Linked DNA regions of Tamandua tetradactyla. The protein of the gene in region 1 binds, or shares a complex with, the protein of each later gene. Links are inferred from orthologs where the notes say so. Each region holds a gene or a part of one and is shown on either strand. Other genes may lie near its edges. The genes, in order: ALB and FCGRT.

The links.
Region 2: the proteins of ALB (region 1) and FCGRT are in contact, whole or in part, in a crystal structure (PDB 6QIO), measured with the Homo sapiens proteins. The link is inferred for Tamandua tetradactyla from reciprocal best matches to the Homo sapiens genes ALB and FCGRT. Residues at the interface, in NP_000468.1 of Homo sapiens: Arg105, Glu106, Thr107, Tyr108, Gly109, Glu110, Asp113, Asn133, Asn135, Gln441, Ser443, Pro445, Thr446, Glu449, Leu484, Leu487, His488, Thr491, Pro492, Val493, Tyr521, Val522, Pro523, Lys524, Thr530, Phe531, Thr532, Phe533, His534, Asp536; in NP_001129491.1 of Homo sapiens: Arg65, Glu67, Glu69, Gly72, Ala73, Val75, Trp76, Gln79, Val80, Ser81, Trp82, Trp84, Glu85, Lys86, Thr89, Arg92, Asn172, Lys173, Leu175, Thr176, Leu179, Phe180, His184, Glu188, Arg192, Gly195, Asn196, Trp199, Lys200, Glu201.

What each region holds. Positions count from the first base shown.
Region 1 is NC_135350.1:56,005,427-56,013,335, reverse strand, and holds the start of ALB (albumin), read left to right. Parts: upstream 1-4,654; 5' UTR 4,655-4,722; coding exon 4,723-4,801; intron 4,802-5,510; coding exon 5,511-5,568; intron 5,569-6,526; coding exon 6,527-6,659; intron 6,660-7,909. UniProt on the Homo sapiens protein: Binds water, Ca(2+), Na(+), K(+), fatty acids, hormones, bilirubin and drugs. Its main function is the regulation of the colloidal osmotic pressure of blood. Major zinc transporter in plasma, typically binds about 80% of all plasma zinc.
Region 2 is NC_135342.1:11,599,686-11,607,540, forward strand, and holds the start of FCGRT (IgG receptor FcRn large subunit p51), read right to left. Parts: upstream 3,127-7,855; 5' UTR 3,077-3,126; coding exon of another isoform or gene 3,075-3,076; 5' UTR 3,033-3,074; coding exon 3,004-3,032; intron 1,926-3,003; coding exon 1,840-1,925; intron 1,129-1,839; coding exon 877-1,128; intron 684-876; coding exon 408-683; intron 1-407. UniProt on the Homo sapiens protein: Cell surface receptor that transfers passive humoral immunity from the mother to the newborn. Binds to the Fc region of monomeric immunoglobulin gamma and mediates its selective uptake from milk.

The DNA.
Region 1 (7,909 bases):
CGGAAAGTCCTCTTAGATTCCAAGGCACATGCTATTGCTAAATGAATACCACTTGAATCAGGAACAGTGTTTCATCACTAAATATTCAAATAATCTACTGAATATTTTGTCAATTTTAGATAAACTTGCTCTACATGGAAGTTTTGAGGCTTTCTATAAGATCAATAATTTTCTTTGGGGCTTATCATAGTCAAATTCCACTTTTCCATCCTTAGCTTTGCTTGTAAACCCAAATAATTGCACTTCTGCTTTTCGTTTCTTTCCTGACATTCTTGCACGAGGTTCTGAGGTCTTCTGGAGGGGGCAAAACTGTTTTTTATTTTCTTTCTGTATTTTGGTCTTTTAGCAAACATTGAGAGGTTGCACATTCTCTACCATACTTATTTCATCAATCTTTGCCTACTCATTCCGTTTCTCCAGGATGCTTTCTTCACAACCAAAAATGTACCCAAAGAATGTAAATTTGAAGCTTCACAGTATGTTAAATTACATAGGTAGCTAAAGAGGTGAAAGCCCATGCCTCTTATCTATGCATGAGATTGCTTTTGGATTTAGAATTTCTCCTCCACTACTTCTCTATTATTAGAGGAGTACCCTGTATTCCATATGTACACCTACATACAACATTGCATTATAATGATCTTTCCACGTACCTTTGTCCCCTGTTAAACTATGGATTGTGTCTTATTAATTTTTCGTATCTTCAGAGCCTAGAAAAAGCTTACTCCACAGCAGGCATTCAATACATTCTGAGCATGAATGAAACACCAAGTGGTATTACTTTTTAAAAAAAGTATGGGACATTACTTTCTGGATTGTTCCTTGTCAGCTAGAATGATGTTCTTAAATAAATAGTGGTGTTTGTTGATGTCAGGGCAATGTTTGCTTTTAGATACTATCATTTCCTGATGTGCATTTTTTTGGCCAATTTTTAGTGTAACTGCTGAGAGAAGTTTGAACTCATCAATATAGCCATTTGTAAGACATTAAATGCTGAGAGGCTAATTTGTATGGTTTTAATGGATCAATATATATCTTGGATAAATGTTAATTTGCAAATTGGATTGTAATATAATCATATGTATTTTATTTAGTAATTTAAATTTTTGTTGCTAAATATTATAGAAAGGCTTCAATTGTGGATCAGGACACTTTCTGGAAAGAGAATGTCATTGGCAACATTATATGTTTCCCTGAAATTAGTTCTTTATTCTATTTAAATGTATTTGTTTTTGTTACCACACTTTATTGTTAAATGAACTAGTTTCGCTGAGAGAATCTTAAACCCACAAATACTATTCTGATGAAATAACTTTATTCTTTTCAATGTCTATTCAATTAAAAACTAATTTTTAACAATTCAAATGCTTATATATCCAATCATATTGTAAAGATAATTTTGAAAACATTTCCATTATATAGTTTATAATAATTAGGCTAGAGATGATTTTCTTTCTCTCAAAAAAATATAGGCCGATGATTTATTTGAAATTTTTCTTAAAAGTAACACTTTTTTGGAAAAAATAATGCATTTTTTATGTAAACCCATATTAGTGGCTTGAAAAAATTGAGAATTCTAAGTCTTAAGTTCCAAGGTGCAGCTAAGGAGAGAGTTTTGTGAAGTTTTAGCTCAAGATTGGCACTCGGAGGATACAAAACATTTAACAAATTAAAGTTTTAGCAAGCATCAAGGGCAAAAATTTTAAACTTGATCCACTGGATTTCAACACAGGAATATTTTAGCTATTCAACCTTTGTTGTTTTATAGGAGGTTAAAAAAGTTAATCTTGTAATTTAAATTTAACCTTATTTTTTAGGTAGTGTCTCTTGAATTACATTTGGTAAGTTTAAAGACTATGAATAGACTAATCAGCACTAAACTCCCAGTAGTGGATTCACTTCAGTTTAATTTCCATCTGTAACTTTCACTGAGAAAAGAGATAAATATTAATGCCAATTTATATTTATAGGCACTATTTGTTGTTAATGTAGATGAAGAGTGAATCAGCATGGGTTGCAGCATTTGCTACTTTTTCCTTGGACTCAAAAAACTTGATAAAAAGATATAGAAAGTGTCATTTTACTTCATAGTTCAGACACATTTATATAGCATTTTCATTTCTTAACTACATTAAGCTGAAATAGATATTGAGTAATGCCTGTGTAGCCATTATATGGCTCAGAAATGAATAAGCTCTCAAATTTGGATCACAATTCTCCCTGACTTAATATATTATTTCGTACTAGTCGGGACCTTTCCTCTATCTCCTTCAATAAGACTGTCCAATTGGAAACATGGAATCACATAATGTTCAAAGTAGAAGGGCTCTTAAAGATAATTAAATCTAACTCCCCTCCACGAAAAAGATCATTTTAAACTAACTTGACCCAAAAGTCATGAAGATAGATAGACAGACAGGTTCTTTAAACTATAAACTCTTAGTTTAAATATCTGCATTTCCTCTCATGCCAAAATCTTTTCATGACAGAATATTTAGGGAAACCAAAGACCGTGTTTTCATTCCTCTCAGAGCAGTATGTACGTGAAGAATTAATATCAGAGGTTTTCAAGAATAATGTAGGAATACTTTGGAAATCCATAAAAATGCAAGTGTTAAGGTGTTTCTTATAAGATGAATTTTAAGCATGCAGGTAGGGTTTTAAGAATTAAATGTTTTATTTCTCAACCACCTACTATTAAAAAAATACATAGCATGCTGTACTGTAAGGAAGTTCTTTTGGATATTTTAAATTTCATAGTTAAAATCTATAGGCTCTTGATTAAATATAAGAAAAGCAATTCAATTTCCTATTTAATCACGATGAATTTGAAATTTTCCTGCATTTATCTTTGTATTACAATATAATATGCAGTGCATACAGACGGAAAGAATAATATATATTTTTCATTTGTTAAAAGAAAAAAATATGCTGATAGTATATGTCTGAGGGATGAAGCCTGAATCTCAGAATTGGCAACAGTTAAATTCAGGGATAAGGACTGCATGCTTAATTGGCTTTCCGTAGGGCTCACACAAGGAAAAGACGAGAGTCGGACACCGGCTGCAAATAAATGAGGCTCACTTTTCTCGGGAGTTGGCATTGTTTATGTGAGAAAGAATTCTTTTCTTGGTCTTCCTTTCCAATATATGTTTTTGGTATTAAACAAATTCTTTTATTCCTTTTCATCTGTGGCCTGAAAGAGAAATCTGGCAATATTAGTCAGTACTCCCTTGAGCCAAATAAAAAATACCCATTTACCTATATGCCTGTCTGTCTGTCTGTCTGTCTATCTATCTATCTATCCATCTATCTATATATCTATCATATCATCTTTTATATATCTCCTTTTCTGTACTTGATTATTTAATTAGTACTCATAACTGAAAATGAAAAAAAAAGGAAAAGAAAATCATAGAAAGTGCATTATTTTTCAATCATGACTGAGTAGGAAAAATAATGCTTCCCTTGAGTATTTATTATTACATGAGCTTATTTGTTTCATGGGAAAATTGGACTGACAATTTTGGTTGATTTGTTTTTTGTTAAGTGAAATAACTGGTTTGATATTAATTACGATTCCATAGTGTTATAGAGAGGCAATTTTCCTATTGGTTGAAACCAGTGTTTCTCCACCTTTAGAACGGCAGGGCAAAGATAAAATAGCCTTTCAGAGGGAGAGATGAGAATTTTGGATTGGGAGCATGAAGACAGAAGTTTGAAAAAGCAGTTTTAAAAATTACCATTGTTTTGAATTGTTTTCAATCACCACGTTAAATTTATTTTGAAATATAAAATAACAAAGAATAATGTAATTTTTCTATTTATTAAAAGGCAGAAAGGAAAAAAGTGCAAAATAGGAATGAAAGGAATATGGTGCTTGGTGAAGAAGCTCTGGGATTCTCATATCTCTAGAGGTGAATCAGGACTCAACCTGCTCCTGTGTTTATTATTATGGCAAAGATCACCATTACTGCCGTTTGGGTTCATTTTATTTCCTATGTCTTAACTGAAAATTCCACAACAGATACCCATCATTTATTTGAGTGTCCTGTGGCAAGACCTGAATCACACATGGGCCAGAGTTGGGATGGAAACGTGGAACTTCTGAATATCTATTCTGGTTGTTATTGCTGCTATGGCTATTTCTCATTTTGCATCTCAGGCAACATCAGCATTTTCAGACAACAATTTTAGATGAAAAAGACATGGAAGAGCTCTAGTGTGTGTGTTTTTAAGTTTTCATTACTTATGGATAAAAATATACTTGGATCTAGTAACAGATGCAATTCAGAACTTAGCTTTTTTGATATATGTTATTTCCAAGCTAAATCACTTAAATTTTTGCAAATATTGGAAACGAAAATGTTCAAATGGGGAATCAAAGATAAAGAATTTGGTAATGAATAATACATACAAATACATACAAATCATTTAGACTCTTACCTAAACTTTGATAAGATGTTTTATATAACTTTAATGAATTGGCAAAGCCTTGTGGAAAAAACAGTTCCAGATGGCAAACATACGCAAGGGATTTAGTTAAACAATTTTTTTTTTTTGCAAGGATGGTATGAATTTTGTAATCAGTTGGGAACCAATGAAATAAAGGTAAGTCTAGTTAATTATCTACAATTATTGGTTAAAGAAGTATATTAGTGTTAATTTCCCTACCTTCGTCCTACCTTTCTCTTCTATCAACTCCCACAAGCCTTTGGCACAATGAAGTGGGTAACCTTTATTTCCCTTCTCTTTCTCTTCAGCTCTGCTTATTCGAAGGGTTTGTTTCGTCGAGATACACGTAAGAATTCTCTTTTTTTAAAATTATTCAACCTTAATTTTATCTTGTCAGTAAAAGAAAGTTCAGGAAACCCTGTATCTTTAAAGACTTAAGGTTTCTTTTAGCATTTACTTTTAGGATATGATGATATTTCATATTTGTGAACCCTTAGGAGGTTTTCTTATTAATATGTTTCCTTTTTTAAGATTTTAGGTGAAAAAAGTGGTAAGAGTTGTTTAGTAAGCAATTTTCTTTTTCATGTGACAAAACCTTAGGCAGGGTGGTTTAAACCTCACAGAATAGAATTGGAGATAGAATTCATAATTCCAAATTCCCAAAGGCCCCATCCGCTGTGCCATGCTTTATAAAATATCAAAACCTGTTTTTAATTTTATAAATAGAACTTGGTTTAACATTTATTTTCACTTCAGACAGTCCTCTCAGTAGTTGTTAATATACACTACAAGAACACTGGACTTTATCCAAGTTTGAGTATGAAACAACAAAAAATTAATGATTTTTTTCAGATATTATCATTGATGATTGAATAATTCTTCAGTTTGAATGCAGAGAACTATTTCACTATCATCTTTAGGAATCAGACTCCAATATTTTGAAGCAAATGAATAGCCTAAAATGAACGTAGTGAAATGTAAAAAGTGGCATGATAATAGTTGTTTTCTCCTGTGTTTAAACAAATCTTGTGTTGTCCTTCCCCCTCCCCCACTAGACAAGAGTGAGATTGCTCATCGGTTCAAGGATTTGGGAGAAGAAAATTTCAGAGGCGTGTAAGTGAAAATATTGGAGAGTCAAGTTTCATGTTTTTCAGAGCATTGGTGACTCCTCTGGAGTCCCTGGGTACCCCTGCCATCAGTGTCCACGCTCTAGAACAGTACTGCCCAGCAGAACTTTCTGTACTGGTGGAAATATTCTATATCAGTGCAGTCGGACATGGTAGCCACTGGCCACATGTGCCTATCAAGCACTTTCAGTATGACAAGTACAACTGAGAAGCAAAATTAAATTTTTTTTTTTTTACATGAGCAGGCACCGGAAATCGAACCCGGGTCCTCTGGCATGGCAGGCAAGTGTCCTTGCCTGCTGAGACACCATGGCCCCAAAATTTAAATTTTATTTAGTTTAAACTAATTTAAAATTTTAAATAGTCACATGTGACTAAGGATTACTGTATGAGACAATCCGACTCTGGAATTCTTATATAACCTGCCTGGTGGAAAGAACTTTAATATAGGGTTCCTTTGGCATTTTAATTAAACCTCCTTTACATATAAGATTTCTCAAGAGCATTTTACTATTTTTTTTAATCTAGTGAAAAATGAGAGAATAGCTTATTTTTTAAAGGTTGATCTCGTCCTATAGTCATTTATAGAATAAATGAGGCATGTATATGTGGTTTCTGTTTTTTGTTTGTTTATATTAAGTAATTCCAAGGGCCTGTGTAAAGCTACTAGTCTTGATGATTCAATCTGTTTAGAATACAGTTTGCTTGCTTGCTCTATGCATGCGTACCTACCGACATGCACACATATTTTTAAACACACCCTCTTCGCCTAGAAAATCAGATATGCCTAGTTAGGTCTCAGATAACACAACGTGAGCTGGCTTTCTGGATAATACTGAGAAAGATGTATAAAATATAGTACATGTACAGATACATGGTCTGCTCCCTAGTATATTTATACTGAATTTACATTATGCTTCGATTTTCTGTGTCTTCTGTTTTAGGACATTGGCTACCTTTTCTCAGTTTCTCCAGAAGACCTCATTTGAAGATCATGTAAAATTAGTGAATGAAGTAACTGAGTTTGCAAAAACATGTGTTGCTGATGAGTCAGCTGAAGATTGTGAGAAGTCACTTGTAAGTACATTCGGATTTTGAAGATTTTTTTTTGCTTTAAAATAATCCTGAGTTTTCTCAATCACTACTAAATAACCAGGTTACTAAGGACATTTTAAAGCAAGATCCAATGCTAGGTATAGACTGATAAGTCTTTGTGTCTTCAATGATAGAGGCCCTCTAGCTATACTCACAGCTTTAAAAACATTTCTTTATTGATACCACACACACAGCCATTATAGTGTATTTCACGGCAAACTGTTTTTTGTAAAAATCTCTTCAAAATTTGACATTTGGTTTCTTTTTATAGAGACTAAAAGTAAGCGCAATCTATGTGTGTTTCTTTTTCTTCAGAAAGTACTCAATTGATTTCTGTGCTAATGTTTTTTTTCCCCTTGGGTGAAATAATAGTATTGCTATAGATTACTCATTTTAGACATCTTTGTATTTTTACAAAGATGTACATAAGAAAAGCAGGATCCTTGGTCATTTAAAAAACTTTGAAATTTTGGTATCCCCAAATAGTTCTTCAATATAAGGAGACAATGTTTCTCTCACCACTTATTCTAAGTAGGTTTCTCTGGGCAAGGGCAATTTCTTGGGTATCACTGGAACCTTTCCCCTTCCTTTCCATCTGTATACCTTCTCCTTCAAAGCAGAATCAATTTTTTAACATCATACAATGGAATGGTTCTAAATATGAATTAAAAAAAAACCCATTTTTAAAAATTAGTGAATTCTATTTAGAGGAGTATGTTTTCCTAGAGATTACAACTACTTTCATAATAACAGTTAATTAGGAAATAATTCATTTAATGGAATATGCTTTGAGGAAAATGTTTAGAATAAAAAAGATATTTTAATGCAATATCTTAACATCTAGTATTTTGTTACTCCTCAGTTTTAAATGGGATGTACTAAACAGTTGGGCCTCACAAAAGGAGCAGATCAGATAAGAGACATCTCTTTCCTCCCTAATGTGAATTCACTTGCTACTTAGAAGGTTATCTTTCTTTGATTTTTATATTCTCCTAGCCTTTAGCTTCAGATGGAAATAGAAGGAATGTAACATTTCTTAGCCATTGACTATCTTTATTTTTACCTTATACCTTATCCACTGTAAGTAATAGTGTGACAGCTAATTCAAATTGCACATAGATGTCCAAATCAATGATACTCTAAACCTGGCAGCAAGAGACAAAGAGAATTATTTATATGTTAAATATATTTATTTTCTAACTAAGTTTCAATAACACATTAAATTTTTATAC
Region 2 (7,855 bases), on another chromosome or scaffold:
GGGCTTCTCAGAGGTGGCAGCGTGCAGCTGGGCACTGCGGAGGGCGCAGAAGGGGACATGTGGAGAAAAGCGGGAAGGGCCTTCCAGGCAGAAGGAACGGCCTGAGCAAAGGCTCAGAAGAAGGACATGGCTCCAAAGGGGAATGGCTCAGTCTGGAGTGTGGCTGGCATGTAGACGGTGACGGGCAGGTGGAGAGGGTCATGGAGGCTGGGAGCTGCAATCTTGTGCAGGGGTGCTGGGGGGCCCCAGGAGGGCTGTGAGCAGAGGAGGGGCCGCGTGTGGGGGAATGGGCAGCCATGGGCAGGCTGGAGGCCAGGGGTGCGGCTAGGGAGAGGATGAGGCCTGAAGTGGGGGCCGTGGGGATAGGGAGAAGGAAACAAAGGCAGCAAGATTCAGGACATCCTCACCCTTCCACTCCAGGTTTCCACGGCCCCTCTCCAGATGGCCCATGAGCCGCTGGGGACAGGAGTTGAGCAGGAAGGTTCTCTCCTTCCTGACTGCATCAGCCTGCTGATTCCACCTGTTGCTGATGGTGAGGGCCTCTGGCCATTCCCCAGACCAGGTGCCCAATTTGAGGTCGAAACTCATGAATTCCTCGCCGTTCAGGGCAAACTTGGCCGTGGGCACTGAGGTGTTGCCAGGGCCCAACTCACAGCCCAGCAGGCCCTGCAGGGTGTAGGGACCTGGGGTGCCCAAACACAGCTGAGAAGGGCCCAAAGGTCCCGGCCCCAGCCCCTCCCCCTCACACCTGGGGGTCCCGGCCCCAGCCCCTCCCCCTCACACCTGGGGGTCCAGGCCCCCAGCCCCTCCTCCCCCAGACCCCGGGGTCCCAGCCCCCAGCCACCACCCCCTCAGATGGAGGAGTCTGAGCTTCACCTCCGGTCCCCAAGGTTTGCAGGGCATCGAGAAAAAGCTTCTCCTTGTCCCTCATGTCTGTGGTCTCTGCCTCCCAATACCAGGCCACCTGGCTTTCCCAGACCCAAGCCCCGCACGGCTCCGCTTGGGCCCGCAGGCTGCTGTAGCTCAGGTACTGCTGTGGACCCAGCCAGCCTGACACCCAAAAGGCAGGGGTCCCTGGGGCAGGGGCGGTCACGGCGGTGAGGTGGTACAGGAGGGAGAGATGGCTGTCTGCGGAGAGATGGGGGGAAGAGAGAAGGGGGCACCCGTGGGGGTGAGTGGGGGGTCTAGAATGGGAGTCAGAAAACCAGACACGGAGAGAGAGAGAGATGCAGAACGGGGGCACAAAGACTCAAAGCAGGGGAGAGAAAAATCAGAGGGGGGGGTAGGGTTGCCATATTGATCAAATAAAAAGACAGGTCGTCTAGCGAAATTTGAATTCACATAAACAATAACTAATTGTTCAATATAAGTGTGGGGCATGGAATGTCAACTTAAAGTGGGTGTCTATTTTTTTCTGTACCCAGGGAAAGTTGGGAACAGAGGCTCAGTCAGAGAGAGGGGGACGGAGACCCAGGGAGAGGGGGACGCAGACCCAGAGAGAGGGGGACAGAGGCCCAGAGAGAGGGGGATGCAGACCCAGAGAGAGGGGGACGCAGACCCAGAGAGAGGGACACACCCATGGAGGAGGGGAACAAAGAGAAGGGGTGGGACGGAGGGGGGAGCGGCGGGCAGAGACCCAGAGAAGGGGCTACGTGGACCCCGAGAGAGGGGGACCGGTGCTTCCCGGTCCCACCGCCCACGGGCGGGGACGGCGGCGAGCAGAGCGCCGCGCGGGGAGGAAGTGCGCGCTGGCTGCGGACTCGCCTCCTTGGCCTCTCGGCCTCGGGCGCCCCCTCCCCGCCGCCCGCACCCGGCGGCCCAGACCCGAGCGGCCCTCACCTGCGCCCAGCGTCCCGGGCAGGAGGAGGAGCAGGAGCCCGAGATCCCAGGGCTGAGGCCGGGGAACCCCCATCCTGGAGGGCGACCTGGGGCGGGAGGAGGCGGTGACTGCTCCGACCCCCGCCCCGTCCCCCCGCGCCCGCGGGTCCTCGGCCCAGCCCGGAGCTGCCCGCAGGTTCGGGATTCGGGTCTGCGCCGGGAGGCTGACAGGTCCCTAATTAAAGCAAGTTCTCTCCCGCCGTGAACTTTCACCCGGTAATTTGATCCGCGTTGGTTAATTAATGACAGACTCTGGATTGGCTGAGATTCCCCTCTAGGAACTCGGCCCCGCCTGCGGCTCCTCCCTCAGACCCGGGAGTCCGGGCCCCCAGCCCCTCCTCCCCGGGACCCAGTGGAGCCCCAGTGCTCCCCCCATACGCACAACCCCTCCCGGGCCCAGTGAAGGGGCCCCAGCTACTCCTCCCCGGACCCAGCTGTGGGGTCCCAAGCCCTCTTTCCCCGGACCCAGCAGTGGGGCCCAGCTACTCCTCCCCGGACCCAGCAGTGGGGCCCCAGCTACTCCTCCCCGGACCCAGCAGTGGGCCCCAGCTACTCCTCCCCGGACCCAGCAGTGGGCCCCAGCTACTCCTCCCCGGACCCAGCAGTGGGCCCCAGCTACTCCTCCCCACCCAGCAGTGGAACCTAGCTACTCCTCCCCGGACCCAGCAGTGGGCCCCAGCTACTGCTCCCCGGACCCAGCAGTGGGCCCCCGCTACTGCTCCCCGGACCCAGCAGTGGGGCCCCAGCTACTCCTCCCCGGACCCAGCAGTGGGCCCCAGCTACTCCTCCCCGGACCCAGCAGTGGGCCCCAGCTACTCCTCCCCGGACCCAGCAGTGGGGCCCCAGCTACTCCTCCCCGGACCCAGCAGTGGGGCCCCAGCTACTCCTCCCCGGACCCAGCAGTGGGGCCCCAGCTACTCCTCCCCGGACCCAGCAGTGGGCCCCAGCTACTCCTCCCCACCCAGCAGTGGAACCTAGCTACTCCTCCCCGGACCCAGCAGTGGGCCCCAGCTACTGCTCCCCGGACCCAGCAGTGGGGCCCCAGCTACTGCTCCCCAGATCCAGCAGTGGGGGACCGAGCCCCTCCTCCCCGGGACCCAGCAGTGGGGGACCCAGTCTGCTCACAGCCGCCACATTCCCTTCCTGCCTGCCATCCTGGCCGCTCCCGTGACTGGAGACCCCAGTTCCTCTCTTACATCCTGTCCGGAGCCTGCTCCCCACTCCAAGAACCTCCGACCCCGCCCCCCAGCTGCGAGGCACACAACCAGGCCCGGCCCAGCCTCCCAGTGTTTGTCTCTGCCTGTCTGGAAACTCGTTGTTTGTGGTCTTTCTTTCTGTTGCTGTCTCTTTGAAGGTGTCCCCCAGCGAATTCGTGACAACCCTCAGACGAGGACTCAGCCTTACCAGAAGTCCAAAATGCGGAGGTCTCCACAGGCCCCCTTCTGACCTCTCTGTGCCCACCCTCCCCTCCAAACCCTCCGCCAGCTCCCTCTGCAATAAAATCTTTCCAGATGCCTCAATATTTCCTCCTTGGGGCCCTTCCCCCAAGTGCTCCCTAAAAGCGCTCCTACAGCTCTCCTTGACGTCCTTCTATAGGCCTTGACACCCCATGTTGCCAATATCCCTGGCCACGCCCTAGGGATGCCATCGGCCCCCACCCCCAGCCCCTGCTCTTATGCTTCCATTCACTTCTTCAAAAAACGGTGGTAACAGAAAAGTTGTCATTTTAGCCATTTGTCAGCTCTGTATTACTTTTAGAACGTTGTGCTACTAACACCACTATTTTTGACCAAACCAGAAACTCTGTCCCCCGTGACTCCCAGGGGTGTGGACCTTCCTGGCAACGTAGGACAGAATTCCTAGAATGAGCTGAGACTCAGCACCAAGGGATTGAGAAAACCTTCTCGACCAAAAGGGGGAAGAATGAAATGAGACTAAGTGTCAGTGGCTGAGAGATTCCAAACAGAGTTGAGAGGTTATCCTGGAGGTTATTCTTATGCATTAAAGTAGATATCACCTTGTTATTCAAGATGTAATGGAGAGGCTGGAGGGAAGTGCCTGAAAATGTAGAGCTGTGTTCCAGTAGCCATGTTTCTTGAAGATGATTGTATAATGATATAGCTTTCACAATGTGACTGTGTGATTGTGAAAACCTTGTGTCTGATGCTCCTTTTATCTACCTTGTCAACAGACGAGTAGAACATATGGAATAAAAATAAATAATAGGGGAACAAATGTTAAAATAAATTTAGTTAGAAATGCTAATGATCAATGAAAGGAAGGGGTAAGGGGTATGGTATGTATGAATTTTTTTTCTGTTTTCGTTTTATTTCTTTTTCTGAATAGATGCAAATGTTCTAAGAAATGATCATGATGATGAATATGCAGCTATGTGATGATACTGTGAATTACTGAACATATATGTAGAAAGGAATAATCAAAATGGGAATGTTTGTGTTTGGTGTTTTTTGGTATTTAAAAAATAATAATAAAAAAGAAAAAAGAAACTCTGTCCCCTAGAAGCAGTAATGGCCCCTTCTCTCCCTCCACCCCCTCCCCTGGGAGCCTCTTTATTACTTTTCTGTCCTATGAATTTACTTGTTCTAGAACTTTCATACAAGTGAAATCATTCAGCGTTTGTCTCCTTGCGACTGACTTACGTCACTCAATGTGCTGTCCTCCGGGGTGGCTGCAGGTATCGGCAGCTCGTTCTTTTTCACAGCTGAATGAATACTCCAGCGTCGGGACAGACTATGTAATATTGAGCCTTCCTGCGCTGATGGCATCCAGGTTGTTTCCACCTTTTGACTATTGTGAATAGGATGCTGTGAGCATCCAGTGGGTGCTTTTCGCTGAATGCCTGTTTTCAGTTCTTTGGGAGAGGGGTGCTGGGTCATCCCTCTCTGCCTTCAACTTACTGGGGCACTTCCTTTCGTCTCTGTTACTCTCTGGGGCCTCCTAGAAGATCGGCTGAGGCCCACCCCTCTGCAGCATCCTTCCTTCAAGTCCACGCATCTTAAGACAGCATCCTTAGCTCTTCCCTGAAGAACGCTGGGGGGCTGCCATGCCCCTGGCTAACCCAGCCAGGAACCCCAGGACCCAGATGCACTTCTCCTGGAAGCTTGGACAATACTCCGGGGTCCTGCTCGAGATGCCCACTCTGGGCTCCCTGGCCCCGGGGACCAGCAGTGATATTTACCGGGACTCCCTGTAAGACGCCTTGGCCCCCCTGCTGCTCACAGGGCCAGCCCTTAACCCTCAGTTGCCCCTTGTACAGATCTGAGGTACTGCCAAGATGTACCCAGATGTCCCGCTTTCAGACGACCCTGGACTCTTCTCAACGCCCCCTTGGGCCCTGGCGTAATGTCCCTATAGATGGTCTTACTACATAATGCCTTTTGGCTGTCAGAAGCATCTCCACATTCCCTTAGATGACCAGCACCGGCTCCTCCGTCGCTTCCCTATAGTAACCGCGGCTAGCGTGGACTCACGGGCCCCCCGTCCTGCCAGCCACCTGCCAGGGGCCCTAGGGTGCCTCAGGGCCTGTCCCCACGAATCTCAGGCGCCCACCCCAGGCTCCTTGAGTTCCAGGACGGCACCCCGAGACCCAGTGATACAGCCTTCGGGTCCCTCTCCCTGCCTCCCAGCTTCATTTAATCCCTTCAGTTTCTGCTGTGAAACGGAAGGAGCAAAAGGCTCCCCCAAACCGCTCCTGCCTTCCCAGGCCCTGCCTATCCAGAGCCCTGCCGGGAGAGACAGAATGGCACAGACAGACTGGGAGACAGATCGGAAGACAGGTGGGTAGGTAGATGATAGAAATATAGGAAGAAAAACACATGGAAAAATACAGATACAAAACAGACAGAAAGATAGTTGGACAGACAAACTGCTTTGGAAAAATAGAGATAACAAAACAGACTGATGGAAAAAGATAGATAGACAGACAGACAGAAACAATTAGACAGGCTCTCCAAGACCTGTCAAAATGTCCTTGGGCCCAGCAAGAAGTCCCGCCCTCCCCTAGGACCCTGCTGTCACCCCTGGCCTGCACCCTCACCCGGCTGCCTGGGCTGCTCCCTCCTCCCCTCCACAAGGGACCTAAGGGCCCATGAGAAGCGCCCCGAGGTCCTGCTGTCTCTGATGTCCCCTTTCAGAGCCCCAGGTCTTGCCCTCATAGCCCGTGGGACCCTGTAGCGGGGACCCCTGTACACCTGCAAACTCTCCGGACCCTGCCGGGACCCAGAGGCGGCCCTGAGCAAGCAGGGGCTCCCCTACCCCTCACCCCTCTTCCAGACACCTCCTCCTGCTGCCCTCTTATTACATGGGGCCCCCTGGGTAATCCAGAACAATCTCTCCTTCCCCAAATCCTTACTCTTCTCAAGCCTTTGAAGACCCTTTTGCCATGCCAGGGCAGTCACAGGTTATGAGAATCAGGGCATGGGCACCTTTTGGGGGAGCCATTACGCTGCCCCCACAATCAATCATCTAGGCAGCCCTGCCCTTGCATCGCGCGGACGCCCCCTCCTCAGCGCCCCTCCTTCCTGCTCTGTGGCCTTGAGGTTTATCCAGGGGTGCTCAGGGGTCTCCCTACCGTCCCCCCTTCCTGCTCCAAAAGAGAAAGGCCGCACAGTCCCTTCTGATGCCCACTGGGGGTCCCCTCCGTGCCTGGGGTCCTGCCCGTGCGCAGGGGCCCGTTTCGGTGCCGCTGTCGCCCCCGCGGTCCTGCAGGGCGTCCCCAGGGTCCTATCGCGGCACCCCGGGGCTTTCACTTCCGCCCCGCAGGCCCCTCTCTAGGTCCGCGGGGACCCTCCGTAACGCAACACAGAGCTCGGGGCAGCATCGGCCCCGCAGCCCGGAAACGCGGGCTCTTCCGTACGATCCGCCGGCACAGCGCGGGACCCAGCCGGCCCCCGGAGCCACCGCCCTGGTCTCCCCCAGGCCGCTGAGCCCGCTCGGCCTCGCCCCTCGCCTGCCCTGCGGCGCCCCCTGCTGGCCGCGAGACCCGCCGGCCAAGTTCAAGACCAAGTCTGCAGCCTTCCGCTAAAGAGACGTGCTCAGTCCCTCATTTGGAAACGGGAATCTTTGAAGATGTGATTAGGATGAGGCCACCGTAGATTAGGGTGGGCCCTGATTGGGTAAGATCTGGGTGCTTTTTTTTTTTTTTTAGTTTCCAAGCTGCCCAAATGCACTATACCAGAACTGGAAAAGATTTTTTTTTATTTTTTAACTTTTTTAAATTGTGAAATATAACATATATATATATATATAAGAAAGCAATAAATATCCAAGTACATTTTAACAAGTAGTTATAGAATAGATTTTAAAGTTTGGTATGGGTTACAGTTCCATGATTTTTCATTTTTTTTTCTTCTAGCTGTTCCAAGACACTGGAGACAAAAGGAAATATCAATATAACGATTCAGCAGTTATACTCATTTGTTAAATCCTAGCTTCTCTATTATACCCCTCCTTTTTTTGTGTGTGAAAAATAACCTATTTTTAAGAGCAATAAATTTCAAACTACATCATAATAGTGAGTTGTAGAATAGATTTAAGAGTTTGGTATGGGCTACAATTCTACAATTTTAAGTTTTTACTTCCTGCTGCTCTGCAGTAGTGGAGACTAAAAGAAATACAATATAATGATTCAGCACTCACACTTGTTTGTTAAACCCTACCTTCTCTGTTTAACTCCACCATCACCTTTGATCTTTCTCCCACTATTTAGGGGTATTTGGTATGCCCATTCTAACTTTTCCATGTTGGAAGGGGCTGTTGATAATATGGGGTAGGGGGATGGAACTAGCTGATGTTCTGGAGAGGCTGGGCCCTCTAGGTTTCAGGACTTATCTGGTCCAGGGATCCATCTGGAGGTTGCAGGTTTCTGGAAAGTTACCCTACTGCATGGAACCTTTGTGGAATCTTATATAATGTCCTAGGTATTCTTTAGGATTGGCAGAAGTGGTTTGGGTTGGGG